2 linked regions of the Stegostoma tigrinum genome follow. The protein of the gene in region 1 interacts with the protein of each later gene in a pairwise test. Links are inferred from orthologs where the notes say so. Each region holds a gene or a part of one and is shown on either strand. Other genes may lie near its edges.

The links.
Region 2: the proteins of ankyrin repeat and SOCS box protein 13-like (region 1) and diphosphoinositol polyphosphate phosphohydrolase 1 interact in a two-hybrid assay, tested with the Homo sapiens proteins (2 studies listed by BioGRID and IntAct). The link is inferred for Stegostoma tigrinum from reciprocal best matches to the Homo sapiens genes ASB13 and NUDT3.

The regions. Positions count from the first base shown.
Region 1 is NC_081378.1:11,544,669-11,560,735, forward strand, and holds the start of ankyrin repeat and SOCS box protein 13-like, read right to left. Parts: upstream 7,998-16,067; 5' UTR 7,934-7,997; coding exon 7,882-7,933; intron 1-7,881. UniProt on the Homo sapiens protein: May be a substrate-recognition component of a SCF-like ECS (Elongin-Cullin-SOCS-box protein) E3 ubiquitin-protein ligase complex which mediates the ubiquitination and subsequent proteasomal degradation of target proteins.
Region 2 is NC_081374.1:28,467,295-28,483,287, reverse strand, and holds the start of diphosphoinositol polyphosphate phosphohydrolase 1, read left to right. Parts: upstream 1-7,963; 5' UTR 7,964-8,292; coding exon 8,293-8,391; intron 8,392-15,993. UniProt on the Homo sapiens protein: Cleaves a beta-phosphate from the diphosphate groups in PP-InsP5 (diphosphoinositol pentakisphosphate) and [PP]2-InsP4 (bisdiphosphoinositol tetrakisphosphate), suggesting that it may play a role in signal transduction.

The sequences.
Region 1 (16,067 bases):
ATGATTTTACCATTAGTCTTTCCCATATCAGGTTCATATTGACTCCTGGCTCCCCGCAATGCCTTATGGCAGGAGTTTGGGTTAGGGAGTACTCACTTCTGCCAAAGCAACAATCATCTCCTGAAAGTGCAATCCACTCCTCTGCCCTCTGGTGCAAAGGAGAAGTGGTAAAAATATCCATAGTGAGGACAGACTGGGGTGGGGCAGGAAGACACCAAGAGGGGATAGAGAAAATTAGAAAGAAAGAAATGGACATACAGTGAAGAGTTAGCGAGGCCTGATGAAACAGATATACACAGACACAATAAAAGCTGAAAGCTATTGCACAAATCTGAAAGTGAAACTTAATGATAGAAAGTGAAAATGTGTCAAGGACAGTGAACGCATGTGAGCCAAGCTTGAATGCTGTCAGCAACTGGCTTGCATTCATGCTAATCAGTGAATCATTATAGTGCACACATTTAGTATAAACTACTGGAGTGAATTCACTTACTTGCTAAAGGAACAATTTTGCATATTTCTACTGAGAGATTGAATTGGCATAAAAAGTTTAATCACTTGAATTTCTACCATCTCTATACAAGTCCATTGACTTCATTAATCTAAATCTTTGAGAGTTATCAATCTCCCCTTGGTCAACACCAGGCCACTATCAGTAAAGATTATATACACCCTTATTTATTTACATTTATCTACAGCATAAAAGCAGAACAAATTGTTGTTCAGGCCAGCTTATACCAAAAGCAGAAATTTTAACCAGCATGCCTCTATTTTGTTCTTTTCTGCCCAAGGATGTTCACAAGTCAAAGGCTTATCTAGATTTGGTTCACATCTTTCCCTGCCACTAAATCAATTTCCTTCCCTCCCATCAAGAAGTTAATTTGGTATGTTATAGGCTTCCAGGTGCCAGTTTTTAGTGAAGAAAGTCTTGCATCTGTAAAACACCCTCTGCGACTTCAGAATACTTCAACTTAGCCTCCAGATGTTGCTTTTTGTTTGCGATATCTCTCTTGTCTCTGGGACTTGAACTTCCCTCTTTGACCCGGAGGTAGTAGGAATTGCAGATGCTGGAGAATCTGAGATAACAAGGTGTAAAGCTGAATGGACACAGCGGGCTAAGCAGCATCACAGGAGCAGGAAGGCTGACGTTTCCAGCCTAGGCCCTTCTTCAGAAATGTTAGTCTTCCTGCTCCTCGGATGCTGCTTGGCCCACTGTGTTCATCCAGCTCTACAGTTTGTTATCTCAAGTTCAAGTCCCATGGCACTTACTTGGGCACATTACCTACACCAACTTTCAATGTAGTACTGTATTCTTCCACATTTTGGATATTTTCCTAATCACCCTGTTCAGAACTGTTATTATACATATCTGGAGTAAACTAGGTCTGAACCTGTGCTTCTTGATCCAGAGGTAAGGGAAAGGCGTCATCCACAAGACCAAAGGGCTACTCTCTCAGACAAAGGAGACTCATGGTGATTTAACCTGAGCAAGGGGTGAGGTTGAGAAGTAAGGACACTCCTACTGCACCACCAGACTCCTCTTCCAGGCAGTAGTGAGGGCACACAACTGTCAGAGACTGCAGTAGAACCATTTGAGGGCATATACAGCAAAACGCTTACTATGCATAAAAATCATAGATTGCAAAAATTGAAACAAAGTTTCCTCTACATTAACCGAGCCCCAATATCATTAAAATGGATTACCTGGTCATCGTCTAATAGTAGATTGCGGGAAGAGATCCTGCAGTGCATAAACTCCATGCTTCCCTATGTTACGACAGTGGTTACACTTCCAAAAAAAAACTTAATTAACAAATTGCTTCTGGACATGAGATTGTAAAAGGCATTAATTACATCCTTACAAGTTGGTTCTTTGTTCAATGATGGACATGAGACTGTCAACTTGCACAGCCTGTTTCATACACAGCAATAATGAGCTGATCATGAGCTGAGGCACCAGGGAATCTCTCCTTTCGTGTCTTCAAAATAATATGAGGACACAATTCCCAAGGGGGCACCTTCTGGCTTAAGCTCAGCATTAAGTTTTGGCATGGATTTGAAATCCAATTCAGGTCTTGTCCAATTTCCTCACTGATCCATGCTCCAGCTCAAGTGAAATCTGCTGTGTCTCTGAGGACCCAGCAGGATATTAAGCTGGGCAGTGAAGAATTAGATAACAACATCTGACAGCAACATCATAATCGGCTTGTGATGACGCTAAATTACCTTCCTTAAAAAGAAAGCTGTCTTTTTTTTCCCCTGTTAAGTTCTCTTTGGATTTTATTTAATTTGATGGGAATTCAAATTTTCTCACTGCAATGGCGACATTTCCATTCACCTTCTCTGGGTTATTAGTTCAGGTCCAATAGCATAACCACAAATCTATCCCAAATTCTCCATTTCTTAAAGCAGTCTGAATGAGAATAAATTATAACAAACAACTTTTCTTCCACTGACTTTTACTGAGGCTCGATTTCACAAGCATGATCACTCAAATGAACAATGTAACCTTGCACAGTGTACATCACCAAGCCATTTGATTTGGTAGTGTCATCTTGGCCTGATTTTATCCTGCAGATTTCTGTGCACACACACTTTGCACGCTGGGTATCACTAAGAGAAGGGGATAGTTAATCTTTCTAAACTGAGCCTTGTTGCTGCAGGAAAAGCTAGCTTGTCGCAGGCTAGGCTAGCCCTGGGGCTTCCCTGATCTGTTTTGACTCCATTCCAAGCTTGCTGGTACATCAAAGTGCACATTACCAAAAGCATCTTGTCCTTTCAGTGCGAACTGCTGTACACTACCTTCCTGAAGGAAAGAGGGAAATGTTAATCTACACTGTGCTAATTTGTCTGCAGCAGATTCCTAGCATCTGGTAAGACAATTTTTGCGTTTTTTTTTGAAAATGACAAAAATACACGACAGAATGACAACAAAGGATGTAAACTACAGGGGCATAAGTTACAAAGCACATCTTCTGCAGCTGTCAACATGGTAACCTCTCACTTCCACATCTCCCTTAGTTCGCCTCCACTCTAAGATAGTTGCCCACACCATCCACCTAAAATCACCCGTCTTTGGTTGTCCTGTTGAGGCGGTGGTGTAGGTGGAGAAGCACACTCATCTGGTTCCATTCTTCTGTCAAAAGTTCAGAATACCTACAATTGCTTCCCCGTTCATTCCTGTGCCAGTAAGTCTGATCTTCCTCCAAGCCACCTCTTCTCCTCTCTTCCTACTTCTCATCCACACACTGCTCTTTGATGGCATCATCCAAAGACACCTCTAAGTGGACACTGATGCCATCAAGCTCACATCCCATCCGAATAAGAGACTAGAAAGCCAATTTGTGTGCAAACTCTCAAAAACAGCACTGAGTTAATTTTTAATGCTCACTAACTCATTGTGTGTTTGCTGGAGTAAAATGATTCACTGAAACATCTGAGGATTGTAGCATTCAGAATGATTCTACAGTAGAACCATTTGATGGTATATACAGTAAAGCATTTATTATGCATAAAAATCGGACTGCAAAATTTGATACAAATTTTGCTCTACAATATGTAAGTCCTAATATTATGAAAATTGATTATTTGGTCATTATCTAACAGTAGATTGTAGGGAGGGATCCTGTACATAAAATAGCTGCCATGTTTCCCTATGTTACAAGGGTGGCTACACTTCAAAGTACTTAATTGACATAAAGGGCTTTTGGACATCATGAGGCTGTAAAAGACTGGCTGATTAGTCGAAAGGATACACATCAGTTAGGGCATCCAGGATTAATCCCCTGTTATTGGGATTGGGGGAGTAGATCAGTCAGCCTTTTGAGCCTGTTCTGTCATTCAACGAATTTAAGGCTGATCTGTGGTCTAACTCCATTTGTTCCATATCCCCCTTAATACCTTTGCTTTAAATAAAAACAAATCTAACTCAGATTTAAAATTAACTCACCTAGCAGCAACAGCTGTTTGTGGTGGAGAGTCCCAAATCTTCTAAAGAACGGCCATGGGATCTTTCAGATTTGCTTGTGAGGATACCTCAGGGTTGCAATCAATCTTTTAAAAATTCTGATCATTATGCACTTTTGTACATCACTAATTGAGATTAAATAGTTTGATTTTATGCAAGGCAAAAGCTGCAGAGAACAGCAAACAATTCTGGCTGTCACAGTCCCAATAGGCCCGAAACGTCAGCTTTTGTGCTCCTGAGATGCTGCTTGGCCTGCTGTGTTCATCCAGCTCCACACTTTGTTATCTCGGATTCTCCAGCATCTACAGTTCCCATTATGTCTGTAGTACATGTTGGCGAATGGAAAGAATCACTTCTTAGATGCATGACACCATTTATTAACAATTCAGGGGAGGTGATGGAGTCAGGTACAATGACAACATTTAAAGGGCATTGGATGGGTACATGAATGGGAAAGTTTAGAGGAATATGGGCCAAATGGGACTAGATCACAGATGTGTTGAACCAAAGGGTCTGTTTCGTGCTGTATAATTCTTAGCTGAAAGACAGCACCTGCAACAGTTCAGCCTTCCCTCGGCATTGCCCTGGAGTGTCAATCGTCCAAAGTGGATAAAAATAAATCAGAATTTTATCTCCATAAGAAACATTGCTATCCTCAGCCCAAGCTGCACTGAGTCTCAGTCATCCATTACTCATCATTATTGATTAAAAGTGTTCGGAGATTCACAACCACCTTACATTTCAAGTTTTCTCTTTTTGCATTTGAAAATATTACTGGCACTGCCTCCCCCACTATCCACACACCCCATCCAATAACCTTGCCCAGTCCTTCAAACATTCAGGAACTCTGCAATCCACCAACTCCGACCTCTGTTGTTCACCCGATTTCCATCCTTCCACTGCCTGGAAACCATTGATCTTCTTTCCCAAAATGCCTCCTTTTCGTTCCTCCTCTTTGACCAATAACAACCTATATTCAAATAGCAGCAAAATGAAGCATGCCAAGGTACTTTGTAGGAGTATTATAAAACTAGTATGACACAAAAGTACATCAGCACACCTGAGGAAAGGGCAATGCTCTGAAAGCTAGTGTGTTCAGAGAAACCTGTTGGACTATATCCTGGAGTCGTGTGATTTTTGACCTTGTCCAAACCAGTCCAACACAGGCACCTCCACATTGAGGGGATATCAGGTCAGATTACTTCTTTTGTCAGAGAGGTAAGAATAATATGGAGGAGGAAAACAAGGCAGAGAGGCATACAAAGTGTATTCCAGGGATTACAGCCCAAACAACTGAAGACACATCCACAACTATGGTGCAGAAAAAAAAACAACAGATGTGCAAGACCAGGGACACAGCAATCAATATATCTGGAGGGTTGTGAGGAAGACATTATAGACACAAGGAGAATACAGCCACCCAAAAACAATTTTGAAAATTTTTAAAATCAGGGTGTTGCTTGACCTGGAGCCACCTCAGGTCAGTGGGCACAGGAGTGATGAGGGAACCTGGGCTTACTGCAAGTTAAGACAGAAGCTAAATGAATATTTTTCAACAGTATTCACTCTAGAAAACGACAATGTTGTCGAGGAGAATACTGAGATACAGGCTACTAGACTAGGTGGGATTGAGGTTCACACAGAAGAGGTATTAGAAATCCTTCAGAAGGTGAAGATAGATAAGTCCCCTGGGCCAGATGGGATTTATCCTCGGATCCTCTGGGAAGCCAGGGAGGAGATTGACGAGCCTTTGGCATTGATCTTTAACTCGTCATTGTCTACAGGAATAGTGCCAGATGGCTGGAGGATAGCAAATGTGGTTCCCCTGTTCAAGAAGGGGAGTAGAGACAACTCTGGTAATTATAGACCAGCGAGCCTTACCTCAGTTGTTGGTAAAGTGTTGGAAAAGGTTATAAGGGATAGGATTTATAATCATCTAGAAAAGAATAAATTGATTAGGGATAGTCAGCACGGTTTTGTGAAGGGAAGGTCGTGCCTCACAAACCTTATTGAGTTCTTTGAGAAGGTGACCAAACAGGTAGATGAGAGTAAACCGGTTGATGTGGTGTATATAGATTACAGCAAGGTGTTCGATAAGGTTCCCCACAATAGGCTATTGTACAAAATGCGGAGGAATGGGATTGTGGGAGATATAGCAGTTTGGTCAGAAATTGGCTTGCTGAAAGAAGAGAGGGTGGTAGTTGATGGGAAATGTTCATCCTGGAGACCAGTTACTAGTGGTGTACCACAAGGGTCGGTGTTGGGTCCACTGCTGTTTGTCATTTTTACAAATGACCTGGATGAGGGCGTAGAAGGATGGGTTAGTAAATTTGCAGACGACACGAAGGTCGCTGGAGTTGTGAATAGTGACGAAGGATGCTGTAGGTTGCAGAGAGACATAGATAAGCTGTAGATCTGGGCTGAGAGGTGGCAAACGGAGTTTAATGCAGACAAGTGTGAGGTGATGCACTTTGGTAGGAGTAACCGGAAGGCAAAGTACAGGGCTAATGGTAAGATTCTTAGCAGTGTAGATGAGCAGAGAGATCTCGGTGTCCATGACAACAGATCCTTGAAAGTTGCGACCCAGGGTGACAGGGCTGTTAAGAAGGCATACAGTGTTTTAGCTTTTATTAATAGAGGGATCGAGTTCCGGAACCAAGAGGTTATTGTGAAGCTGTACAAAACTCTGGTGCAGCTGCACTTGGAGTATTGTGTAGAGTTCTGGTCACCGCATTGTAAGAAGGATGTGGAAGCTTTGGAAAGGGTGCAGAGGAGATTTACTAGGATGTTGCCTGGTATGGAGGGAAGGTCTTACAAGGAAAGGCTGAGGGACTTGAAGCTGTTTTCATTAGAGAGAAGAAGGTTGAGAGGTGACTTAATTGAAACATATAAAATAATCAGAGGGTTAGATAGGGTGGATAGGGAGAGCCTTTATCCTAGGATGGTGACAGCTTGCATGAGGGGGCATAGCTTTAAATTGAGGGGTGAAAGATATAGGACAGATGTCAGGGGTAGTTTCTTTACTCAGAGAGTAGGAAGGGAATGGAACGCTTTGCCTGCAACGGTAGTAGATTCGCCAACTTTAGGTACATTTAAGTCGTCATTGGACAAGCATATGGACGTACATGGAATAGTGTAGGTTAGATGGGCTTGAGATCGGTATGACAGGTCGGCACAACATCGAGGGCCGAAGGGCCTGTACTGTTCTGTAATGTTCTATGTTCAGAGTTTTAGATGACCTAAGATCCAGAGGATAAAATGCAAGAGGGACAGCTAGGAATGTGCCAGAATAGTCATGTCTAGAGATAACTAAGTCACAAATAATGGTTTCAGATGTACTGAAGTACAAAGTTGTGCAGTGGTACAGAGGTGGAAACACGGTCTTAGGGCACAATGAATAGGAGATCAGAAATGCATGATCAAATGTGACATCTGAGATGCAACCAGCCTGGTTTAATCTCAGGCAGCTGCCACTAGCAAGGATGGAGTCAGTAGCTTGGAAAACAGCTTGAGTTTCCGTACCAGGGTCACTGGGCCCGAAAGGATAACGCTGCTTCCCCTGTATAGATGCTGACCTGCTGAACCTTCCCAGCAACTTCTGTTTTTGTTGCTTAAAAAACAGATTGGCCCAAGGGCTTAATCGCCTACCCTGATATCTCCTTCCAATCACAGTCACAATGAGCGTTTTTGGTCTTATGCTGTTGTGAAGAGAATGGTAGATACATAAATGCAAGCTGCAATTGTTATTCACTACAAAGAGCAAGCTGTTATTATGACAAGGCAGGGCAAACAGCACTAGTTAGAAATGAAACAAGGCCACTGCAACACGAGTCGAGACATCCACGCAGACAATGTCAGCCAGTAACCAGAATAATTGGTTGCGTTACCCTGATTCCAAAACTCTTAATACTCACTGATGTCTCCCATTGCTCTCTGCACCGCTCGGCTGCTGCAGCCACTTTCCATTTTCAGGCCAGCTGGGCACCGTCACGTGATGCGACAACGCTACTTTGCGATTGCAACATCGGAGGTACTCTGCGCATGCGGCACATGACAGGCCTGTGAAATCCCCATGCGGAAGTGGAAGGAACTGAGTGAGAGTGTGTGCGTTTTGAGGTTGGGGAAAGCGGATGGTATCATTGCAAAACATTTTAATGGGTCGAGTTGGGTTGATTAGTTTGTGAGGATTATCGAGGGAAGAATTTATGTAGAGTCTGATTAATGATTGTTTGAAAGGAAATCTGCCTGATGGGAACACCCTGAAGTGCTGAATAAGTTCCTTCCACTACCCCCCCCCGCCCAGTTAGAAAGGTTTTACAAAGATGAATAACAGTGCCAGAGAATTTCATCGGGTTCTTCTTACCTCCATTTTAGTTACAGCCAGCTGGCAGTGTATTACAGTTAATAAGGAAAATAATTTACAAAATTATTTTTAAGCATTTGGATTTCACAGCATTAAAATAGAAATCGTGCAAATACTCAGCAGATTACACTCTAACTGTGGAGTCGCAATAAGATGTAGGAAGAATTTGGCGCTTACGATGACGAGAAACTGCCAGCGTTTGCTGTGACCATAATTCTGAAACTGTCATCGCATTCGCGCAGCTAGTGATTAAAATCTGGTTGCAAATAGGAGCAGGTTGTACACCATTCAGTCCTTCGCGATTTTTCTGCCACTCAGATTTGATTATGACTGATCGTCCAACTCAGAATCCTGTTTCTTTTTTCTTCCCATATCCTTTGATCGTAGAATGATAGTGTCTCCACAGTGAAGCCATTCGATTAATCGAATCTGTAATGACTCTAAAAGAGCATCCCACCTAGACCCATTCCCAGTCCCCACTCCGTCCCCCGAGTTGAGTGGGGTTTTTACCATAGCTAACCCCCGGACCTACATTTCCCCTACATTATGGGGCATTTATTTTAACATGCCAATCAATCTAACTTGCACATTTTTCGACTGGGTCCCTTTAGCCCTAAGAACAATATTTTGCCCCTTTTTGAAAAAAAATTCAATATTTTGGGGCCTCACTTGCTTTTTGTGGCCGAGAATTTCACAGGCTCACCACTCTCTGGGTGACGACAGCTTTTCTGATGAAGGGTCTAGGCCCGAAACGTCAGCTTTTGTGCTCCTGAGATGCTGCTTGGCCTGCTGTGTTCATCCAGCTCCACACTTTGTTGTCTTGGATTCTCCAGCATCTGCAGTTCCCATTATCTCTGGGTGAAGACAATTGGTCTACCTCATCTCCTTACATTGTGAGCCCCAATTCCAGACTCCCCAGTCACAGAGAACATGCTTTCCACATTTACCCTCTATGAGATACCTAATTCATTCATAAGATCGCAAGAACCTGGAGGAAACCCACACAGAGAATGTACAAACTCCACATAGACAGTTGCCTGATGAAGGGTCTAGGCCCAAAACGTCAACTTTCCTGCTCCTAAGATGCTGCTTGGTCTGCTGTGTTCATCCAGCTCCACACCTTGTTATCTGGAATACAATAGGCAGCATGGCAGCTCAGTGGTTAGCACTGCTGCTTCACAGCGCTGGGCCTGAGTTTGATTACCCTTGGGCAACCATCTATGTGGAGTTTGCACATTTTCTGTGTGTCTGCCTGGGTTTCCGCCAGGTGCTTGTGAGCTTATGAATGAATTAGGTATCTCATAGAGGGTATATGTGGGAAGGATGCTCTCTGTGACCAGGGAGTCTGGAATGGGGCTCACAATGTAATGAAATGAGGTAGACCAATTGTCTTCACCCAGAGAGTGGTGAGCCTGTGGAATTCTCTGCCACAAAAAGCAAGTGAGGCCAAAATATTGAACATTTTCAAAAAGGGGCAAAATATTGTTCTTAGGACTAAAGGGACCCAGTCCAAAGATGTACAAGTTAGATTGATTGGTATGTTAAAATAAATGCCCCATAATGTGGAGGGATGTGTAGGTTGGGGGGTTAGCTATGGCAAAAACCCCACGCAACTTGGGGTGGGGATGGTTCTGGGTCTAGTTGGGTGCTCTCCGGAGAGTCATTACAGACTCGATTAATCAAATGGCTTCTTTCTGAACTGTGGAGATCCTATCATTCTATGATCAAAGGATGTGGGAAGAAATAAGAAACAGGATTCTGTATTCCAGTTGTCATTTCTTTGCCCACTCTGTTAGACTGTGCAAGTCATTCTGCAGCCTTCCTGTCTCCGCAACACTACCCCACCCCTTCACTTATCTTGATATCACCTGCAAACCTAGTGATAATGCACTTAGTTCTTTCATCCAGGTCGTTAATGTATTATCTGAATAACTGTGGTCCCAAGACTGATCTCTGTGGAGCTTCATTAGTAATTGGCTGCTATCTTGAGACAAACCTCTTTAAACCCGCTCTCTGCTTTCTGCTAGTCAGCCAATTCTTCATCCATACCAGTACCTAGCCCCTAACACCATGGGCTATTATCTTATACAGCACCCTTCTGTGCAGCACCTTCGTAAATGTTTTCTGGAAATCCAAATAGATCACATCCATTAGCTCTCCTTTGTCTAATTTGCTCATTAATTGAGGCCGGTTTGTCAGGTATGATCTCCCTTTGATGAAGCCATGTTGACTCAGCCCTATTTTACCATGCACTTCCAAGTACTCCACAACCTCATCATAAATAATGGACTCTAAAATATTACCAACCACAGCAGTCAGACTAAGCAGTATAGAATTTCTCATCTTCTGCCTCCCTGCTTTCAAAAAAAGGAGTGTTACATTAGCTACTTTCCAGTTCTCTGGTACCCTCCCTGACTCTAGTGTTTCTTGAAAGATCACCACCAACGCTTCCACAATCTCCTCAGCTATCTCCTTCAGAACTCTTGAGTGTAGTCCATCCGGTCCCGGTGATTTATCCACTTCAGATCTTTCAGCTTCCTCAGCACCTTCTCCTTAGCAATGGCCACTACACTCACCTTATGATTCTCTTAAAGGTCAGAAATGCTATTGATGTCTTCCATTGCGATTGCTGATGCAAAGTACCAATTCAGTTTCTCTGCCACTTCTTCGTTCCCCATTACTCAAAATGGATTCATTTTCCTGCAGTCCAGTGTCCACCCTTGCCTCTCTTTTAACTTTTATATGTCTAAAAATACTCTTGCAATCTTCTTTTATATTACTAGCCAGCTAACCCTCATGTTTTATCTTCACCTGCCTTATTGTTGGACTCCCTGATCATCAGGAGCATCTTCCTTGAATTTATCCTGTCTCACCCTGTGAGAATTTATAGGTTTCAATAAGAGCCTCTCCTCATTGTTCTAAATTCCAGTGAATATATTCTTAACCAATTCAGTCTTTCTTCATATATCTGTCCTGTCAACCCAGAAATTAGTCTGACAAACCTTTGTTGCACTACCCCCATAGCCAGAACATACTTCCTTAGGTAAAGAGACCAAACGTGTACACAATACTCTAAGTATGGTCTCACCAAGGCTTTCCTGCTCCCCCACAGGATTTCCTGCTGCAGACCCTACAAATTATTTGATTGAACATCAATTTCACCAATGTGCTGTTAAAACAAATGTTCCAAAGATCAGTCATACTTGAAATATTAATACTGTCTCTCTCTTCAGAAATGTTGACAGACCTGCTGTATTTATCCAGAACATTTCTATTCCCGAAAAATTATGTTTTGCCAAGTGAGGTGTAACTGTTTATTGTAAATATCAAGTCATCATTACGTATGACCAGCCTCTCCCGGCCTAATATTGTATTCATAGAGAAGGACAAATTTCTATATCCTGATAAAAATTCCAGATTTTATTTTAATGTGTTTTTTTCAAACATGTGTTTCCAATATTTTAACAATATTCTCAAAAAAGATGTGGATGTGGCACTTTTTTGTTGCCTGTCCCTAGTTGCCCTTGAACTGATTAGCTCTCTCAGACATTTCAGAGGCCAATTAAGAGCTAACCACACTGCTGTGGGTCTGGAGTCATGTATAGGCCAATCCAGGTAAGAGCAGCAGATTCACTTCCCTAAATGACATTAATAAATTGGATGAATTTTTTTACAACAATGGCTACATGATTACCATTAGACTAGTTTTTAATTCCAGAATGTTTTTCATTGGATTCAAACTTTCCCATGTCTAGGATTCAAATCTATGTCTCCAGAACATTAGCCTGCATTTCTGGATTACTAGTTCAGAGAATTACCATCATGTCCCATACCATATTTTAATTCGTGGGGCCCAATCTTTGGTTCACTCTCTAAAGTTCTCCAAAAGTGAATGAGAATTTGTGCAATTTTTTTTTCCTGATTTGTGCTGTGAGATATGCCCACAGTTTGCAGCTAGTTCTGTTAGGATCTTTCTTGGCCAGAGATCCCGCCACCAATCCCTCTTGTTAGTACTACGTGGTGGTTTGATTAGCCTAGTTGGCTTGGTGGCTGGTTTGCAGTGTGACACCAACAGTGCAGGTTCAATTACCTATACCACCTGAGGTTAGCAGGAAGGTCACACCTTCTTAACCTTATGCCTCGTCTGGGGTGTGGTGGCTGTCGTGTTAAAACCGGCGCCAGTTATATCTCTATGATGAGAGAGTAGCCCAAGTCATCCTCATCCCTGGGGGCCACCAAAGAAGAAGAAAAAAAGTACTATTCTAGGGACTTACTAATACTGAGTGATGAAGGATTACCACAAAAGCCTAGGCAGAAGGTGTTAGGTTCGTTTTCAGAGACCCTCATGGACTTGATGCAATGACAAGACACTGACCTGTTTAGGAAAACACAGATCCTTTATTACAAAGCAAGTACAAGCTGTGGAGGATCACTGTACTCAACCCAGCACAGAGTGCAGAGTCTCGTAAGCGATTCTCCCCGAGCAGGGGACAGCCCCCGCTTTTTATACTTTATCGGGTGCATACTACATAAAGCAATGTTACATCTCACAATGGCATGTTACATGAAACAATCACTACATCGGACAATGACATGATACACAAACAATTACCACGTCGAAAACATAAAGAGAGCAGGATACAGTATCGATCGTTCGTGAAGTAACTGCTAACGGCAGGAGGCAATTTCAAGCTGCCGAAGTGACAGAATGTAATTTCAAGCCACCAAAGTGTCTGGCTTGAACAAAAGTCAGTGCCCTGGCCTGTTTGGCAGAGACTGAAGGTACATTCTTTACAGGATCTCAGAAGTCTCACACCTTTACAAACGCTGCCCACCTAATCTTATTTGAGACAGTTTCCACATACCCCTGTGCAGGAAGATAAAGACTTACACAGTTTATACCTAATTCTATTCAGGCAGGAAGCTTAAGGCAGTGTTATTCTACCTATGTGTAGGAAGATAAGGATTTACAAAGTTTTACACTTAATTCTAGTTGGGTAAGAAGTTTTAAAGAGATAATGGGAACTGCAGATGCTGGAGAATCCGAGATAACAAAGTGTGGAGCTGGATGAACACAGCAGGCCAAGCAGCATCTCAGGAGCACAAAAGCTACGTTTCGGGCCTAGACCCTTCAGGCCCAAAACGTCAGCTTTTGTGCTCCTAAGATGCTGCTTGTCCTGCTGTGTGCAACCAGCTCCACAGGAAGTTTTAAGGCAGTGTCTGCATACCTCTGTGTAAGGAGATAAAGAGCATTAATTTATAGTGAATATAGAAATCAATGGGATGCTATCCCAATAACATCTCAAGGGGGCTCAGTCTTGGGTAACCAAAGTTAATTAGATAAGGAACAGGTTACAGTAACATTAAAATGGTTAACTATATTATACTTGGTAAGAGATAGACTGGGCTAACCTAAGTTCATGGTTGTTAACAGCAGAGGTGAGATTAACAAACTGGATCAGCGCAAAATGGCTGGTTTCTTCCTGAGACAGTCACTTATATACTGCTGGGCAGAGCCATACAAAGGCTTCGGAATTAATCCATTCAGGTTAACTATCTTCTGATGAAGGGTCTCTGTGCCCGAAACTTTAACTCTGCTTTCTCTCCACAGATGCTGCCAGACCTGCTGAGTTTCTCCTGCACCTTCTTTTTGTCATATACAACATTTTGTTTGCTTAGAATTCTTTAATCTGACTGTCTGCTTAGCTCACCTGATGTCATCACCTTTGTTGGACACTTGGAGATCCCACAGACTCTGTACCAGAATCAAGGTCTCACTGGGAAGGGGGAAATCCATGTCAGACAAATCATTAGATCTTTGTGGACAACTTTATATGGGGTTATTGGCACTGATTGCAAAATCTAGCCTAATGATTCAGGTCAATGTTGTAGATTGTACAGGTTTTAAGTAAGTTTGAAACAGAAATGGTAGATAGAGTCATGGAGTTACACAGCACGGAAACAGGTCCTTTGGCCCAACCCGTCCATGCCGACCAGGTTTCCTAAACTGAACTAGTCTCATTTACCTGCAGAAAAAAACAAAAAGGAATGTCTGTGACAGTGTGGGAAGCAGGGGTGGTTAAGTTATAAAAGAGACAATGGTGCAAGATAAAAGGGGATGGTAATGGGACAATAAAATTATTTAAAAGGTAAGTCTAGAGGAGCCGAAAACCACAAAAACAGATTTTCTGAAGAAGGGTCTAGGCCTGAAATGTCAGCCATCCTGCTCCTCTGATGCTGCTTGACCTGCTGTGTTCATCCAGCTCTACACCTTGTCATCTCAGATTCTCCAGCATCGGCAGTTCCTACTATCTCTTCATTACCAGAATGCTGGTTATGCTGCTTTCCAGTGAAATGAGAGCAATGGTTATGATCTGAAATCATTAAGCCCGGAGTTTGAGTCTGAAAGTCTCTTTAGTTCTTAATCAAATGATATTGCCCTTCAAACTTCTGTTGAGCTTCATTACAACAACATAGGAGCATGAGGATGGAGAGGCTTGATTGCAGTGGGCTGGGGAAGTAAGTATTATATACATCTGTCTCGGATCACAGAGCGTATCCAAGTGGTTCTTTTTGGATTTGGTTAAAATGTAGTTAAGAGAAGGCTCGACAACAGCAATTTTCTTAAGGGTGTACATTTATTGAGTAATAATAAAGATGAAAACGGAAAGCAACATTTATTAAGTAAATGAGAAGAATGAAAAAGAGAGGGAAACAAAACAATAAGCCTCACGTCTTTCTGGCCATCAGGGACCCATCGATTAACGGCTGGTCCGGAGGCTGAGGATGTTTCTGGCACTGCTTGTGATTTCAGTCCAAGGTGAAGCCCAACTCTCAGAACAAAACTCTCTCTGAAACAGTTTAGCAGTCAGCGCAGCGAACGCAGATACGGAAGTCAAAACTGCTTGTTAATACAGAAAACAGCTACAGGAAAACAAGCTGCAGGCGTTATCTTAAACCTATAAAGCAATGTTCACAGGACTCATTCAAGATCATGCAGATTGTCAAAGTGTCATCCTTAACTTTCCCAGCCTACTTTCCCATCCTATACAGTCTGTTTTCCCATGCAGATGTCGAATATTATCATTAGCGCTAAGCCCTTCACCCCACCCTATAAAACATCTTGTGAAGCAAAGGGCAGAATCATGTTCTAATACAAGACCATCATCAAGATCTGCTGTAAGGAGTGAGCTAACCATGCTGCACAATTCATTAGTCCTACACATGGGCCTTTGCACTGAAGGTTAAGGTTATTAGGAACACATTTTGGCATACTGCCCATTGCAGGGATATGGGGCCATGTGTGAACATGGTAAGCATTTGGGTGCTCCATAATCAAACAGATTAAAGAACCATTACTCAGCAGTGTTGTCTGAAGCAAGATTGTGACTTGGAATATTAATGTCATATCAAGTACAGTTAGTGAAAAAACATAGACCAGAAATGAAAGAATGCATTCAAGATGAAGATAAAAGTGGCCGAAAGAAAAATATTGTTTTGAAAATTAAAAACATTTATCTAAAGGAATGAGAATAGTTATTAAATAAAAACCAAAAGAACTGTAGATGCTGGAAATCAGAAACAACAACAGAAATTGCTGGAAAAGCTCAGGAGGTCTGACTGGGGAGAAATCAGAGTTAACATTTCAGGACCAGTGACCCTTCCTCAGAACGCTATGTTACTTTGCACATTAATTATAGATATTCCCCCAGCAATGGTTCATTGGATAAGTGAATC
Region 2 (15,993 bases), on another chromosome or scaffold:
AATTCAGCATGTCTGGGCCCTATAAACAGAAGTGGTCCTAGGGTCATCTGATCAGCCCTCCAAGGCCAATGGATTATAAGTCAGGATCTCTCCACTCAACTGTGGAATTTGGAGTGCGCTGACATGTAGTGAGAGGGAGAGAAAGAAGAGATTCTGAAGGCACACTGGTGGCACTAGTGTATTCATCAAAGTAAACAGATTTTCACATTTGCAATTAAATATTCACTTCTCATCATCAACTCTCTGTCAAGGCACCAATGCAATATCTCTGGAACTGAACACACTCATCGTATACCTACAAAACAACAATTGGCACAAGACGTCAAATGAGTAGCACCTGAGCCACAAGTAGACAATAGGTAAATGGCCAGTGAATGCTGCCTTGGCAAGTATGGTCGACCTTCCAGGCAGGAAAATATTGCCATAAAGCACATAAATTAAGTGGGGATCAACCATCTTGCCTGGTCAGGGATGTTTTGTACTGCACAGATTTGGCTAATGCGTAAGAGTCACAACGAAAGTAGTGCTCTTAGATCTCATTCATGCAATGTATAGAATTGAACTATTTTGCCATTTGAAGGTCCTCAGCTCATGCAAAGTTGAGGCACCTTCCTTCACAGAACAAAGCACTTACCCTGGTTGTGGTCATAATCATTTCCATTACACATTTGCAATTTACTGAACAATGGAAGACAACAGTGGGCAGTCTTTAGACAGTGAGTTCCAGGCTTTACCTCTCCATGTCGATGAACTCTGAAGCAAAAACATCTCTTTCCTTCAAGCACTTCCTGTCAACCCTGTCGGCTTTGAAATTACCAAAGTCCCTGCCCAACTCACTTACACAAGGCTGCAATGGTGCATATTACCCTCTCAGCCCTAGGCATATCAGGTAAACAGATATTCAGTTTATGGAACTGTTGAAGGGGACAGACTCTCCGAGGAAAATGGAAGGGGGCATCAGTTATTTGGACACTTGGAATGATTTTTACATTAGGCGCTATTTGACAAAATTTAATAGAATTAATGTTATATGGAACTCTCCTGTCAAGGGCACAGACAGGAGATTCTGTGGCAGTCAGTGTAAATTTAGAATGCTTTGTTGCCTACCTGGTGCTAGAATTAAGGACATCTCCAAAAGTTTCCAGCATATTGTTAAAGGTGAGATTGAGGAGCCAAAAATTATTATACATATCAGTAGGAATGACATCTCTGAGAGCTGCAGACGCTGGAGAAACCGAGATACCAAAGTGTGAAGCTGGATGAACACAGCAGGCCAAGCAGCATCTTAGGAGCACAAAAGCTAACATTTCGGGCCTAGACCCTTCATCAACATACATTACTGCTATAACCAGAGAAGATATTTCTGAAACATCATCCAGTGAAAATATATAGGTAGAAGTTAGAATTAAGAAAGGAACGATTACCTTGATGGGATTGTCTTATAGGCCCCCCTAGTAAGAAGGAAACTGAGAAACAAATACATAGGGAGATCTCAGGCATATGTAAGCATAATAAGGTTGTAATAATGGGGGATTTTAATTTTCCAAACATTGACTGGGGCTACCATCATGTTAAAGGTTTGGATAATGATGAATTTTTAAAATGTGTTAAAGAAGACTTTTTTGACAATATGTGTATGCTCCTTCTAGACAAGAAGCAAAATTAGAGATAACAAAGTGTGGAGCTGGATGAACACAGCAGGCCAAGCAGCATCTTATGAGCCTGCAGTGTTTGTCCAGCTCCACACTTTGTTATCTCAGAATCTCCAGCATCTGCAGTTCCCATTATCTCTGATCACCAAGAATCAAAATTAGTCATTCTTTGGGGTAGATAGCAGGTGGCTGAAGTTAAAGTGGGGGAACACTTTGGGTCTGATGGTCATTACGCCATCAGTTTCAAAATGGTTATGGAAATGGATAAACCTTCCATAAGATTTAAAGCTTTAATGGGAGTAAGGCAAATTTTAATGGCTATAAGACAAGAACTTTCAAAAGTTGACTGGAGTAGACTATTTGCAGATAATGGGATGACTGAAAAGTGGGAGTCTTTCAAGTATGTGATGACAAGAGTTCAGAGGCATTATGTTCCTGCTAGAGTGAAGGGTAAAGCTGGTAAGATTAAGCAACAATGGATGAATAAAGATATTTAGGTTCTAGTCAAGAATAAAACAGAACCTTATTTAGGACATCGACAACTTGGTTCAATAGAATCTCTTAATCAGTATGAAGAGTGTAGGGCATTTTCAGAAAGAAATCTGGAAGGCACAGAGTGGATATGGTTTAGCATTGGCAGATAAGGTTAAGGATAATTGAAAGAAGTTCTACAAATATACTGACAGAAAGAGGGTAACTAGAGAGAGGGTAGGGCTGCTTAAAGACCAAGGAGGCTGTCTTTGAGTTGAACCCCAAGAGATGGGAAAGATACTAAATGAATATTTCTCATTAGTTTTTACTGTGGAGAAAGGAGAAAAATGGAGTCTACAGAATGCAGAGAAATAAATTTTGATGTTTTAGAAACAGTTAACATTATAGAAAGGGACATTCAGGAGGTATTAGAGACGATAAAGGTGGGTAAATCTCTGAGACCTGATCAAATGTATCCCAGAGTGTTTTGAGAAGTAAGGGAAAAAATTGCGAGACCCCTTGCAGAAATATTTGCATCAACCATTACTATGGGTGAGGTGCCTTTGTCTATATTTCTGTAAGGTTAACACATCCTGTTTAAAATTATTTTGATTGTTTGGTCAGGGAATTGATCTTTGTGCATTTCCACCATTCCAATCTCTTTAAACAAATGTGGCTGACAGAAGGTTTGTCAGGAAAAAGTAAATTACTCATATCTGTACATGTTTATAATTCCTGGGGTAGCATATGAATGAATATAAAATCCAATCCTTCATTTTCTGCAATGATATTGAGTGGTAAATTGATATTAGTGCATCCCATTAGTAGTTTTCTTACCGTTGGCTCTGGCTAATGTTCAAATATATATACAGACATAACAATATATAAGTTAAGAGCAGAAGTTGGACAGAGCCCAGTCCATTACACAAACCAGGCTTCCATCCATTGACTCTATCTATACTTCCCACTGTCTCAGGAAAACAACCAATATAATCAAAGACCCCTCCCACCCTGCTTATACTCTCTTCCACCATCTTCCATCCAGCAGGAGATATAAAAGTTTGAATACATGTATGAACAGATTCAAGAGCAGCTTCTTCCCCATCCTTATCAGACATTTGAACAGACCTTTCAAATATTAATTCTGATCTCTCTCTTTGGACTTTCTCTGTGGCTGAAATGGTGTATTCTGCACTTTATTCTGCTACCCTGATCCTTTGATGCATATAATCTGCCTACATAGCATGCAAAACAACACTTTTCATTGTATCTCAGGACATGTGACAAAAATATATCAATCAAATCAATCTCTGAACTTTGCTCCACCATTTCATTAGGTTTCAACTGTTCTGATTTTGGCCTCTATTTTCCTGCCTGTCACCTGTACCTTTTGACTTCTTTGTCAGTCAAGAATACATCTAAGTTAGCCTTAAAATTATTCAAAGGCCCCCACCTCTAAGGAAAGAGAAGTCTGGAGATTAACAACCCTCTGAGAGAAAAAAAATCCCCTGATATTCATCTTAAGTCTGAGACCTCTTATTTTTAAACATTTCTGTCTAGTTCTACTTTCTTTGAACCTAAAGTTCTTGCTTCCTTCATTCCAGGAATATATTTGGTGTTGAAAACTGGAAGTGAGAAATTTATGGTCCCATTAACAGGTTTGGAAACTATGCCCACAGGGTTATTAGACTGCTCCTGAAGTGAAGTTAGAGCAATAGTTATAAACTGAATGCAAACCATTAAAAACAGATCAATGAAGGAGGGGGCTTGTGTAAATTAGTAGGGTAGTCAGTGGAGGTGGGGTGTGGGGGAGGTGGTACTGCAGTTATAAACTGTGGGGTCTACAACAGGAAGGGGCATTACTGGCTCCAAACAGGAACAGGTGTTTCAAATAAAAGGCAAACCTGCACAGAATCTGCAGGGGCTACCTTTCCTGAACTGAAGTGGGATCAGAAGGGGAGAGGACCTCTAAAAAATAGAAGGGATGCTGGAGGAGTAGAAGGTCTCTGTGCAAGGGACAGCATGTGTTAGAATATTTTGGAGAACAAAGGAAACAGAAGCAACAGTAAGACATTCTCCCCCCACCTTGTTCTGTCATTTACCTAGATCATACCTGATCTTCTACCTCATTGCCCTTTTCTTGAACTATCCTCATACTGTTTGATATCATTAATATCTAGGACTCTATCGACTTCTATCTTGAACATATTCAATAATTGAAGCACCTTGGCCCTTCACTGTAGAGAATTCCAATCACCCTTTGGGTGAAGAAATTTCTCCTCAACTCAGCCCAAAATGACCTAGCTCTTATTCTGAGATTCTGATCCAAAGTTCTGGACACCTTGGACAGAGGAAACAGTCTTTCTTTATCCATCCTGGAATCCCCTTTTTCTCAGCAAGCACTTACTCCCCTCCCCAATATCCCCACACGATTCAAGAAGGCAACTCACTATCACCTTGTCAAAGATGAGCAATGATGGGGAGTAAGTCAGTGACATCAACATCCTGTAAACGAATAAACAAAACCTCTTGGGCCCTGTAAGAATTTTGTTTGCTTCAATGCTTCTAAACTCTCGAGAATACAGGCCAAGTCCCCTCAACCTCTGTTAATAGGACAGTACTATCAGCCCTAAATTGAGTTTGGTTAATCCTTGTTACACTCCTGGCATGGCAAATTTTTCCTTTCTTCAGTAATACGGCAAATTTATTTACAATGCAGAAACAATAGTTAAGTCGGTCTGCTCAAAATGGATTAAGCCAAAAATACCATACCCTTTCCCATTGAGACGAATGCTAACCCTAACTCAAAATTCCCATCAATTGTGAAGTAAAAATGTTTAAAGTTAAGGAACATCTACCAAATTTGATGTAAATATTTTCTGAGAAGCAGGCTTTAGAAAGGCAAATGTCAGTGGTCAGAGTGCCAGTAATTGAAGGGAAATTTGTCAATTCTACATTTGCTGCTTACAACCCTGGTGTATAGGGCTGTCACAAAATTGACAGTCGCATTTTTTTTTCACTTAGCTATGTCCATGCTTCGTTAGAAGCAACGTGGCTAAAATTGTTTCAGAGATTGTAGAAACTACAGATGCTGGAGTCGTTTAGTACAATTACAACATTTAAAAGATATTTGGAAAGATACATGGATAGGAAACGTGTAGCACGATATGGGCCAAATGCAGGCAAATAGGACTAGTTCGGTTTAGAGAACCTGGTCCTCGTGTACGAGTTGGGCCCAAGGCTGTGTTTCGCTGCTGAATGACTATTTTTGCAGCGTCGAGCCTGTTTAGAACTAGTTGTTCGAGGCCCTAACAGTTGAGGCTTTTGTGTCACACGAAACTGACTTGAATGTGAAACCAGGATGAAAGAGGAAAGTGTACCGAACTCACAAGGTCACGGAAAATATTTCTACGTACAAAATGGGTCTTTTTTTCTCTTAAACTGCCACTCACTTGTTTTTCCTCTCCGGACTACATGTGTGCCGTCTCGAGCCTGTGTTTGTTGGTGACTGCATTTGCAATTCCGTGGAAGGACTTGGTGGTTTGGGCGACGCTTTCATCCCAGATTCTAACATCCCCTTCCTGAATCCCTCCGGAGGGACAGGCCTGTTTTCGAACTTTGGTGGCGCAGTTGACTGTTTTGGCCGCAAACTGGACCCACTCACCACGTATGACCCTTCGGGCAACATCTGGAGATCTTTCAAGTCTTCCAGCAGGGCGCCTTCTCTTTGGCTCACTGCCCTGCCCCCTGATGGTGAGGAATCTGGCACCGATCTGGACGTGGTCAGCTCTTGCCAGTTTTCCAAGGCTAGGTCTTGCATCTCGGAATACCTCTCCTCTTCGTTTGGCAGCAGGTATTTCCGTTTGTTGAGGTTGTGGAAGACAATGGGGAAAGTCTGAAACATTTTATCAAACGCTGGTACCGGTTTGAATTGAACTAGTATTCGGCGACAGTTGGTGACTGCAATTGCCCGAATTCGGTGAACCGTTGGGGAGCAAGTTCTCATTCCAGAACAACGCAATAAGAGAGGCCGCTTTAAAAGTAAATAGAAGAATCGCTTCACCCTTTTGTTGTACAGCATTGTTGCTGAATTATCATTTATAGGCGGATTTTTGGTGATGTGTATTTATTCCGTTGTAACTAGATAATAAAGCAACAGAGAACAACAATGCAAGAAAGATCCCAGAAAATCTGAACAAAAACAGGTGAGCCACATTTTAGAACAAAATGTAAAGAAAAGAATAAATTATTTTGTAAAATCCGATGACTAACTTTCGATTTTTGTCACATCGGTACTTCAAAAATGTACTTTCAGTAAAATAGTTACCAATCACAAAGGATCTAGAGTGGGAATCAAACTAAAAAAAGGAATAGACGACATAAATACAAATTATTCATAAGCTTGTTCAAAGAAGTAGATTTTAAGGAATGTCTTAAAGGAGGAGAGAAAAAGGTGGGGAGGCAGAGAGTGGAGGGAGGAAGTTCCAGGGTTAGACTTGGCAACTGAAAGTCGTACCGCCAATGATAGAGCAATAATAATCGACGATGCGCAAGAAACCAGAATTAGGACGAAGAGCTATCTCAAAGAGTTCTGTGACTGGAAGTGGTCACTGAGACTGGGGAGGGACAAAGCCATGGAGAGATTTGGAAATAAGGACAAGAATTTTCACTTGAGGTGGTGTCCAAACCCAACTAAAGTAGGTAAGTGAGTACAAAAAATGATGTGCAACGGTCCTTCTAAATTGCACATTTATGTGCTAAACAGCAACCAAAACATACCAGGAATCTTGCTGACAAATTGTCCCCTTTAAGATATGACGTGTACTAGAAAACATAATGAACTTAAGGTTGTTGCAGCACATAAAGGGATCATTTCTCGTGGGGAAATTGGCCTTAGTGCGAGTTAGGACACCAACAGCAGAATTTTGGACCTCCTCAAATGGACGATGGGAGACCAGCCAGGAGACAGGATAAATTCAAACTTACTAAGTTTGTCACATGAATAAGTATAAAATAAAGTCATAGATCTTTTACTGTATAAAAAGGCCTTCTACCCATCATGTCCGTGTAGTTTACAAACATCTATATTCTAATCTCATCCTGCAAAATTTGGCCTGTAGGCTTATGTGCTCTGACATTTCAAGTGTGCAATTGTCTTCACGGTTCCTGCCTCAAATGTCCTTTTAGCTTGTGTTCCAGATCTCTGCCATACTCTCGGTGAGATAAAATTCTCAAATCCCCGCTAAAGCTCATGCTCCTTCCCTTAAAGATGTGACTCGTGGTTACCCCTTTGTACACCTGAATCAGCTACCACTTCAGACTTCTCTGCTGTATGGAAAACAATCCCAGCCTATCCCGTTTCATTACAGCTGAAAAAGAAACTGTATTTGATATCTCAACCCACAGCATTATATGTAATTTTAGTTCATCTTTGGAAATAGTTTTTTTAAAAAGATTAATGTACAGCCGCACCTTTTCACTATATAGAACAGAATAAGGAAAGAAAAACTTCCACATTTAAAATCAACAAAACACGTGAACGTTACATTCAAGAAAGACACAATTATACACACAAATGGCCTTTGCTTTGTCTTCCCATACATTGGTCTCACAGATAGAGGCGGGGGGGACATCCGCTGCGCCCCCTCTCGGCTCTGAGCGTTCATTGATGGAAATGGAGCTCAGGCATTTTCTACCGAATTTGCTTGACGGGGCGGGGCATCGGCGCGCCACGGACGTGATTGGCGAACGGGGCACGCTCCTGGCTGCCGATTGGCTGGGCCTGGGAACAAGCCCTGCCCCCCCACGTGTCCCTTTTCCCCACGCCCCCCACCCCACAAACTGCCTTTGTGTAGCAGGTTCGGTTGAGGCACAGGGCAGCCAAGATGGCGGCGGCGGCGGTAGCAGGAGGAGTAGTGGAGGTGGCGATGATGATGGCGACCGTAGTATCGGCGGCGGCGCTGGTGTCGGAGAGAGTGGCTGTGGCAATATGAAGCGAGGTCGTCCCGGCGGCTGAAGATCAGTCTTCCTTCGTCGTTCAGTAAAAAAAATACAATTCACAACTGAGGGAGTTCTCTGCTTCTCTTCTCATGCGAAGTTTTTTTCTTTTGGGGGAGGGAAGGAAACACAGTGTAGAATTGAAACAAGACAGTTTACTGAAATAACATAAATGATGAAATTAAAGCAAAACCAGACTCGGACTTACGATGGGGACGGGTACAAGAAGCGAGCGGCCTGTTTGTGCTTCAAAAACGAGAGTGAAGAGGAGGTAAGAGGTTTTGGGACCTGGTTTGTGCGGCGTTGCTGCTGAGAGAAAGAGAGACAGTCTCCCCAGGGCCCAACACGTCTGCTCTCCATCTCGCCTTTTCCTGGGGGAAGAATCTCTGCTGGACAGGCCTTGCCTGTTGTTCTCTTGGAAATTCTTCCGGTTTCAGTGCATTTTATTTTACATTCTGTGATCGCTCCCACCGAGGGTGCTGGGGCGGGTGGCGTGGGGAGGTCTGTTTTTCTTCGGAGTGATGCCACATGCACTTTTCGCTTTGTGCTAAAATTACCGGTGACACCGCTGGTCCGGTTGATCGACGTTTGATGAGTTGGGTTCAGAGTGAAGGCATTTTCTCTCTCCCAACTTCAGTCAGTCAGAGGGGATCGTGGACTTATGAGAATCGTATTTGTCTGGTTCAGTGAGACTCTTTCGGTCTGTTGAGGCTGCAGAGCCTCCACACTTCCTGGTCGAAATTTTTGCATTTGCCATCGCAGGCGTACGTGAAAACAAAAATGCCTTCCCTTTCCAGCTGTTCCAACTAGTTATAAATATATTTGTTTTAAAAATGAATGAAGGAACCACTCTTTTGAGTAGTAATTTGTGCTGTCATACAGCGTAGAACAAACGGCGTGTTTTCATACTGCAAATTTGTCCATTGCAGCCAGGGATGACTTTTTAAAAAAAAAACGGCAGGTGGGTTGGCAGCTTTGCAACAGGAGGAAGATAAAGAAGTGAATTGTTTTATGCCTAGAAAGATTTTAACACAAAAGTATCACAGTTCACCATTTTGGAAAAAAAAAGCCATCTGCAGTCCCATGTTAATAACACGCATATAGCTAAGATTTCAGTAATATTTTAAAAGTTGAAATGATCTAGGGTGTGAAAGTGTTCGTGAAGGCAGTCAGCATTTGGCCTACATTATAAGTGGCTTGGCAGAGCTGATCTGTATTCTTGAAATGTATTTTTCAGTTTGTTTCCAACTTGTCCTGGCTTTTGGGTATGTGCATGAAAGCATCATGGTTACTACAGTTACCCTGATTAATCTAGATTGTGTAAGTGAGAAAGTTTGTGTTTGCATCTTCAGTAGAGCAGATAAATTTTTCTTGATTTTATTTTTGAAAGGAATAATTGACGTTGGAATGTGCTGGTGTATAGATGATAAATTGTTTGAGATTCACTTAGAGAGTCGTACATTTCTGTGGTTGTACAGTTTATTTGAATTGAAGCTATAGACATGGCAAAACTGGTGCTTTTTGCATTAAGTAGTGAAGTTGCTTTGTTTGATGCTTTTTGTTTATAGGCTGAAGTCAGCTGTGTCTCATTGTACCTGAGCCCAAGTTTCCTTTTACGTGGACCGAATTATGATATGTGAAAGTAATTTTAATTGAATTTCATTACAAGTCATTCTTCATAGTTGGCTCCCATTAGGTGCTTGTATCAGAAGATCTGTAGAGGATGGGAAGTAGGCAAATTTCTTACAAATAATCTAATTTGAGTGAACATTTCAATATCTTAATTTTAATTCTGGTGACACTGTCAATTTGAGGCATCTATTTGAACTTAAAATGGAATTTATTTTAAGCCTAATCTTTGCATGGTCGTATTGATTGTAATCCCTGGTTGTGCTGCCAATTTCATTTCTAGAAGTTGAGAATTTTGTGGAAGCATTAGTCCATGTGATGTTTGACCATAGATGTCAAGAAGAGCTGTTTAAGATTTGCTTAAAAACAGTTTGTGAACTGTGTGTGAAATCAAGCACTATATTGTTCATTACTTTCTGGGACACTTGCACATAAATATTAGTTTGAGCTTGAACTCTGGAACTCAGCTTTTGTAATCTGATATTTTTCAAAGTGATGAAGGTATAGTGGTGGCCAAACCTGTGATATCTATCATAACATACAGTATCTTATTCACAATATGTATAAAAAACAAGTTTCAGTTCTGTGTGGCTCACTTTGATTGGAGAAGCTGCTTTCGTATTGTGGTGTTAAATGTTAGATGAAAGCCTGAACAGAAACAGTAATTACTAATTTGAGTTGTTAAATTTATGTGGGAAATACGGAAACTTTCTTTAAGATTGTGATTCATTTTTCTCAACCGTTTCAGCTGTTGCCAGTAAACTTAAAGTGTAACAGCTAAAGATAACAGTATAGTTATTGAGAAACAGAAAGTTTCAAAGCAGTGTAACTTGAAATTGTTTGATAATACAACTAGTAACAAATAAATGCAGTAATTACCAGCCAAGTTTAATGCCTGCAAATTCTCATTGGTTCTTGTGCTTTCTGTTGTAATTTTGGAATACTTGAGTTTATGGGTTTTTAAAACGGTTCTTCCTACTCCTAATGCCTTCAATGCTTTTTTTCATTTTCCTGGACTGAGTAATCTGCTGTTGAGCATGCTCATTTATGTCCATTTTGATCTTGCTTCCCAGGCAACCTTTGAAACTAATGTTAAATGGCATTGATATACAAGGAAAACTGTGGAGTCATAGTAGAATGGCAATACTGTACTCATTCTTGGATGTGTTATAAAAAATTCCACAGAATTATAGAGAAGCACAACAGGCTGCCTAATGCAATAAAATCTCAAATTCTAGCAGTTTTGAACAGTTTTGTCCACGAGCTTGCACCATTTAAGATAACAGAAATATTTTAAATTGTATGTATTAAAAAATTGATAATGGAGATCCAGCTTTATAACTAGTTTTCAAATCAAATATTGTAAACCTCCCATCCAATTTTCAGCATGCAATGAAAACATTACTTGTGGTAATTTGGAATTGATTTGAACATCATTAGCTTGTCTTGAAAATCCCACTTATGTGGAGGTGTAAGTCATTGCTTGTATTTTTGAAATGGTCTATATATAAGTGAGATGGTGTTGGGCTGTTTCTGTGTTGATTGACTGCTGTTTTATTTGGTGTTTGGAAATGAAGTTAGTGAGTACTTAGTGTATTTAAATTGAATACAACTTGTTTTAAATTTCATTCAATCAATCACTTGTGAGCAAAATTTAGTGGTGAGTCTTTTATGATGCTGTTGTGGTTGAATACCTTTGGTGTGTTGCATGATTTTTTTTCAGTCTATTCATTGCCAGCAACAATTCATAATGTTGAGCAAATAGTCAATAATTTTCTTTCCGCCTGTGGCTCATGTTTGGCATGTAACATCTACACGTAATACATTCATGTAGTGCTTTTGACATGTTAAAACCAGTGACATGGCATTTTGCTGAGTAACTTTCTCGCTGTTTTTCTAAATGTTTCCAGCAAGTCTCAGTAACTCATTTGCCTAGATATATTTTTAAAAAAATTAAGTTCAACAGTTACAAAAATAAGCTGCAAATTTATATTTAAAGTACTTTGCATGTTTTGATAGAATAATCGCAAGAGATCAACACTTTCAGTGATCACAGATTTGCCTTGTTTGTCTTATTAGCAAAATTTCTATATTTGCTATTACAGCATTATGCTAATTTAGGATTCTGGTAGCAGTGTTCTCAAATTTTCACCTCCCTTTATGTAGATGCAGTCTCCTCCTTGTGCATTGTTATTTCTAGCATTGCTTGAAATAGACTATTAAAGCATTAATTATGACAGTTTTCTTTGGATGAGGACGAGGCAGAATGCACAATAGTGCACCATGGGAAATTGGAAATTGTGTGAAGTAAAGCTTCATTTATGCATTGAAAGTGGGATGTTGTCTTACCAGCTATTGGCGACTGAGCACTGCATGACTGAATGATGCTGCTTTGTGATATATAATAAGACTTTTTCTGCAATGGACTTCACAGGATTTTGCTGTGCTGCAAAACTTTATCACGGCAGAAGAAGTTTTGTCTTGCCCAATTTACTTCCATGTGCCCAAAAATCTGTGGGTCGAGCATCGGCCTATTCAATCACATGAAGACCCATGGCACAAACTTGCAACGCTAAGTAGATGTCATCCTCGAATCAAGGGACGACTGCCGTCGACGACAATTGTACTTCAGAAGTTATGAGAGGTACTGATTGTGGAATAAAGTAACTGATTTTTTTCAGTTTTTCATTGGCCTTATTTCTCTTCTGTGAGTGGTGATGAGAGGGAAAAGAGAAGTTAAAATTTCTGAATTTCTGTTGTATTTTGGCTAATCATGAGCAAATCTTCAGGAAATCTGTTAATGCTTCCCAACTTTTTGGCTCTTGCATATTTTCACATAAATAAAGCATTAATTATTCAACTCCAGTGTCTGTTAATTAACACAGGTTGTACTGATTTGACTACTAGTAAGTACTTGGGGGAGGCAGTGGCCCAGTGATATTATCGCTGGACTGTTAATCCAGAGACCCAAACATTGTTCAGGGGAATAGAAGATAATGAAATGTGAGGCTGGATGAACACAGCAGGTCCAGCAGCATCTCAGGAGCACAAAAGCTGACGTTTCGGGCCTAGACCCTTCATCAGAGAGGGGGATGGGGTAAGGGTTCTGGAATAAATAGGGACAGAGGGGGAGGCGGACCGAAGATGGAGAGGAGAGTATAGGTGGGGATATGGGAGGGGATAGGTCAGTCCAGGGAAGACGGACAGGTCAAGGAGGTGGGATGAGGTTGGTAGGTAGGAGATGGAGGTGCAGCTTGGGGTGGGAGGAAGGGATGGGTGAGAGGAAGAACAGGTTAGGGAGGCAGAGACAGGTTCGACTGGTTATGGGATGCAGTTGGTGGAGGGGAAGAGCTGGGCTGTTTGTGTAGTGCAGTGGGGGGAGAGGACGAACTGGACTGGTTTTGGGATGAGGTGGGGGAAGGGGAGATTTTGAAGCTGGTGAAGTCCACATTGATGCCATTGGGCTGCAGGGTTCCCAAGTGGAATATGAGCTGCTGTTCCTGCAACCTTCGGGTGGCATCATTGTGGCACTGCAGGAGGCCTATGATGGACATGTTCATCTAAAGAATGGGAGGGGGAGTGGAAATGGTTTGCGACTGGGAGGTGCAGTTGTTTATTGCGAACCGAGCGGAGGTGTTCTGCAAAGCGGTCCCCAAGCCTCCACTTGGTTTCCCCAATGTAGAGAAATCCACACCGGGTACAGTGGATGCAGTATACCACATTGGCAGATGTGCAGGTAAACCTCTGCTTAATGTGGAAAGTCATCTTGGGGCCTGGGATAGGGGTGAGGGAGGAGGTGTGGGGGCAAGTGTAGCATTTTCTGCGGTTGCAGGGGAAGGTGCCGGGTGTGGCACCTTCCACCCCAACATTCAGTTCACCTGGGCCATCTCCAGCACATCCCTCACCTTCCTGGACCTCAGTCTCTATCTCAGGCAACCAGCTTGTAACTGATGTCCATTTCAAGCCCACTGACTCCCACAGCTACCTAGAATACACCTCCTCCCACCCACCCTCCTGCAAAAATTCCATCCCCTATTCCCAATTCCTCCGCCTCCGCTGCATCTGCTCCCACTATGAGGCATTCCACTCCCGCACATCCCAGATGTCCAAGTTCTTCAAGGACCGCAACTTTCCCCCCACAGTGGTCGAGAACGCCCTTGACAGCATCTCCCGCATTTCCCGCAACACATCCCACACATCCCTCACACCCCACCCCCGCCACAACCGCCCCAAAAGGATCCCCCTCGTTCTCACACACCACCCCACCAACCTCCGGATACAACGCATCATCCTCCGACACTTCCGCCATCTACAATCTGACCCCACCACCCAAGACATTTTTTCCATCCCCACCCCTGTCTGCTTTCCGGAGAGACCACTCTCTCCGTGACTCCCTTGTTCGCTCCACACTGCCCTCCAGCCCCACCGCACCCAGCACCTTCCCCTGCAACCGCAGGAAATGCTACACTTGCCTCCACACCACCTCTCTCACCCCTATCCCAGGCCCCAAGATGACTTTCCACATTAAGCAGAGGTTCACCTGCACATCTGCCAATGTGGTATACTGCATCCACTGTACCCGGTGCGGCTTCCTCTACATTGGGAAAACCAAGCGGAGGCTTGGGGACCGCTTTGCAGAACACCTCCGCTCAGTTCGCAATAAACAACTGCACCTCCCAGTCGCAAACCATTTCCACTCCCCCTCCCATTCTTTAGATGACATGTCCATCATGGGCCTCCTGCAGTGCCACAATGATGCCACCCAAAGGTTGCAGGAACAGCAACTCATTCCGCTTGGGAACCCTGCAGCCCAATGGTATCAATGTGGACTTCACCAGCTTCAAAATCTTCCCTTCCCCCACCGCATCCCAAAACCAGCCCAGCTCTTCCCCTCCACCCACTGCATCCCATAACCAGTCGAACCTGTCTCTGCCTCCCTAACCTGTTCTTCCTCTCACCCATCCCTTCCTCCCACCCCAAGCCGCACCTCCATCTCCTACCTACCGACCTCATCCCACCTCCTTGACCTGTCCGTCTTCCCTGGACTGACCTATCCCCTCCCATATCCCCACCTATACTCTCCTCTCCACCTTCGGTCCGCCTCCCCCTCTGTCCCTATTTATTCCAGAACCCTCACCCCATCCCCCTCTCTGATGAAGGGTCTAGGCCCGAAACGTCAGCTTTTGTGCTCCTGAGATGCTGCTGGGCCTGCTGTGTTCATCCAGCCTCACATTTCATTATCTTGGATTCTCCAGCATCTGCAGTTCCCATTATCATTGTTCAGGGGACCTGGGTTCAAATCCTGCCATGGCAGGTGGTGTAATTGGAATTTGAATTCAATACAACATCTGGAATCAACAATCTTGATGACCCTGAATCCATTGTCGATTGTTGGAAAAAACCCATCTGGTTCACTGATGCCCTTTAGGGAAGGAAATTGCCATCTTTACCTGGTCTGGCCTACATGTGACTCCAGACACTTAATAGGCTTCTGGGCTATTAGTGGCCGGCAATAAATGCTGCATAGCCAGTGATGCCTTCATCCTTGCATGAATTTAAAAAAACTTCGCAAGATCTAGTTTTTTTTTCTTATTCAGTCTTGGAAACAGTTCAGTTTTCCTTGGTTAGAAATGTTCTCCAAGTTATACTCGTTGATATGCATGTGTGATGTAAGCCAAGCATTTGCCATTTTAAGATAAGTAATACATGCACAGTTCACGTCTTGGGTAAGACTTATGATTGTAATAAAAGGAAAATAGATTAGTTGTAGCTGTTCTGTGGATTTTGTGAGATAAGGAGAATATGGTCAATTTCTTTTGTTTTTGTAAACCTGGTTTGGTGTATCATTCCTAGAGTTAAGTATTGTTTCATTTATTTAATGAAGCAAGCATGTGGCTCTTTGAGGCAGATTAGCACATTTACCATGTCAACAGAATTGTTCTTCTGACAATAGATTAGGAGTTCCAGGAGGAAGAGTGTCTTCCTGGCTGATCTGCGGCTGGTAAGTCTTTTTTTATATATCAGTCAGTATCTAAATTTTGGAATAAAATAAAAATGTGTTGTGGGTTAAGAATTGTGTTGTCACTTTTTTGTTATATCGTCTGTTGTATTTGATACTGCCACTGTGGAATAGTGATTACACTGAGCCAAGTGAGAGAGTGCATTCATGCTGACTTGGGGAAAGAATTAATTTTGTGGAAAAATGTTCAAGTTGTGAAATTGTGTATTAAGTAAAGTAAAACAT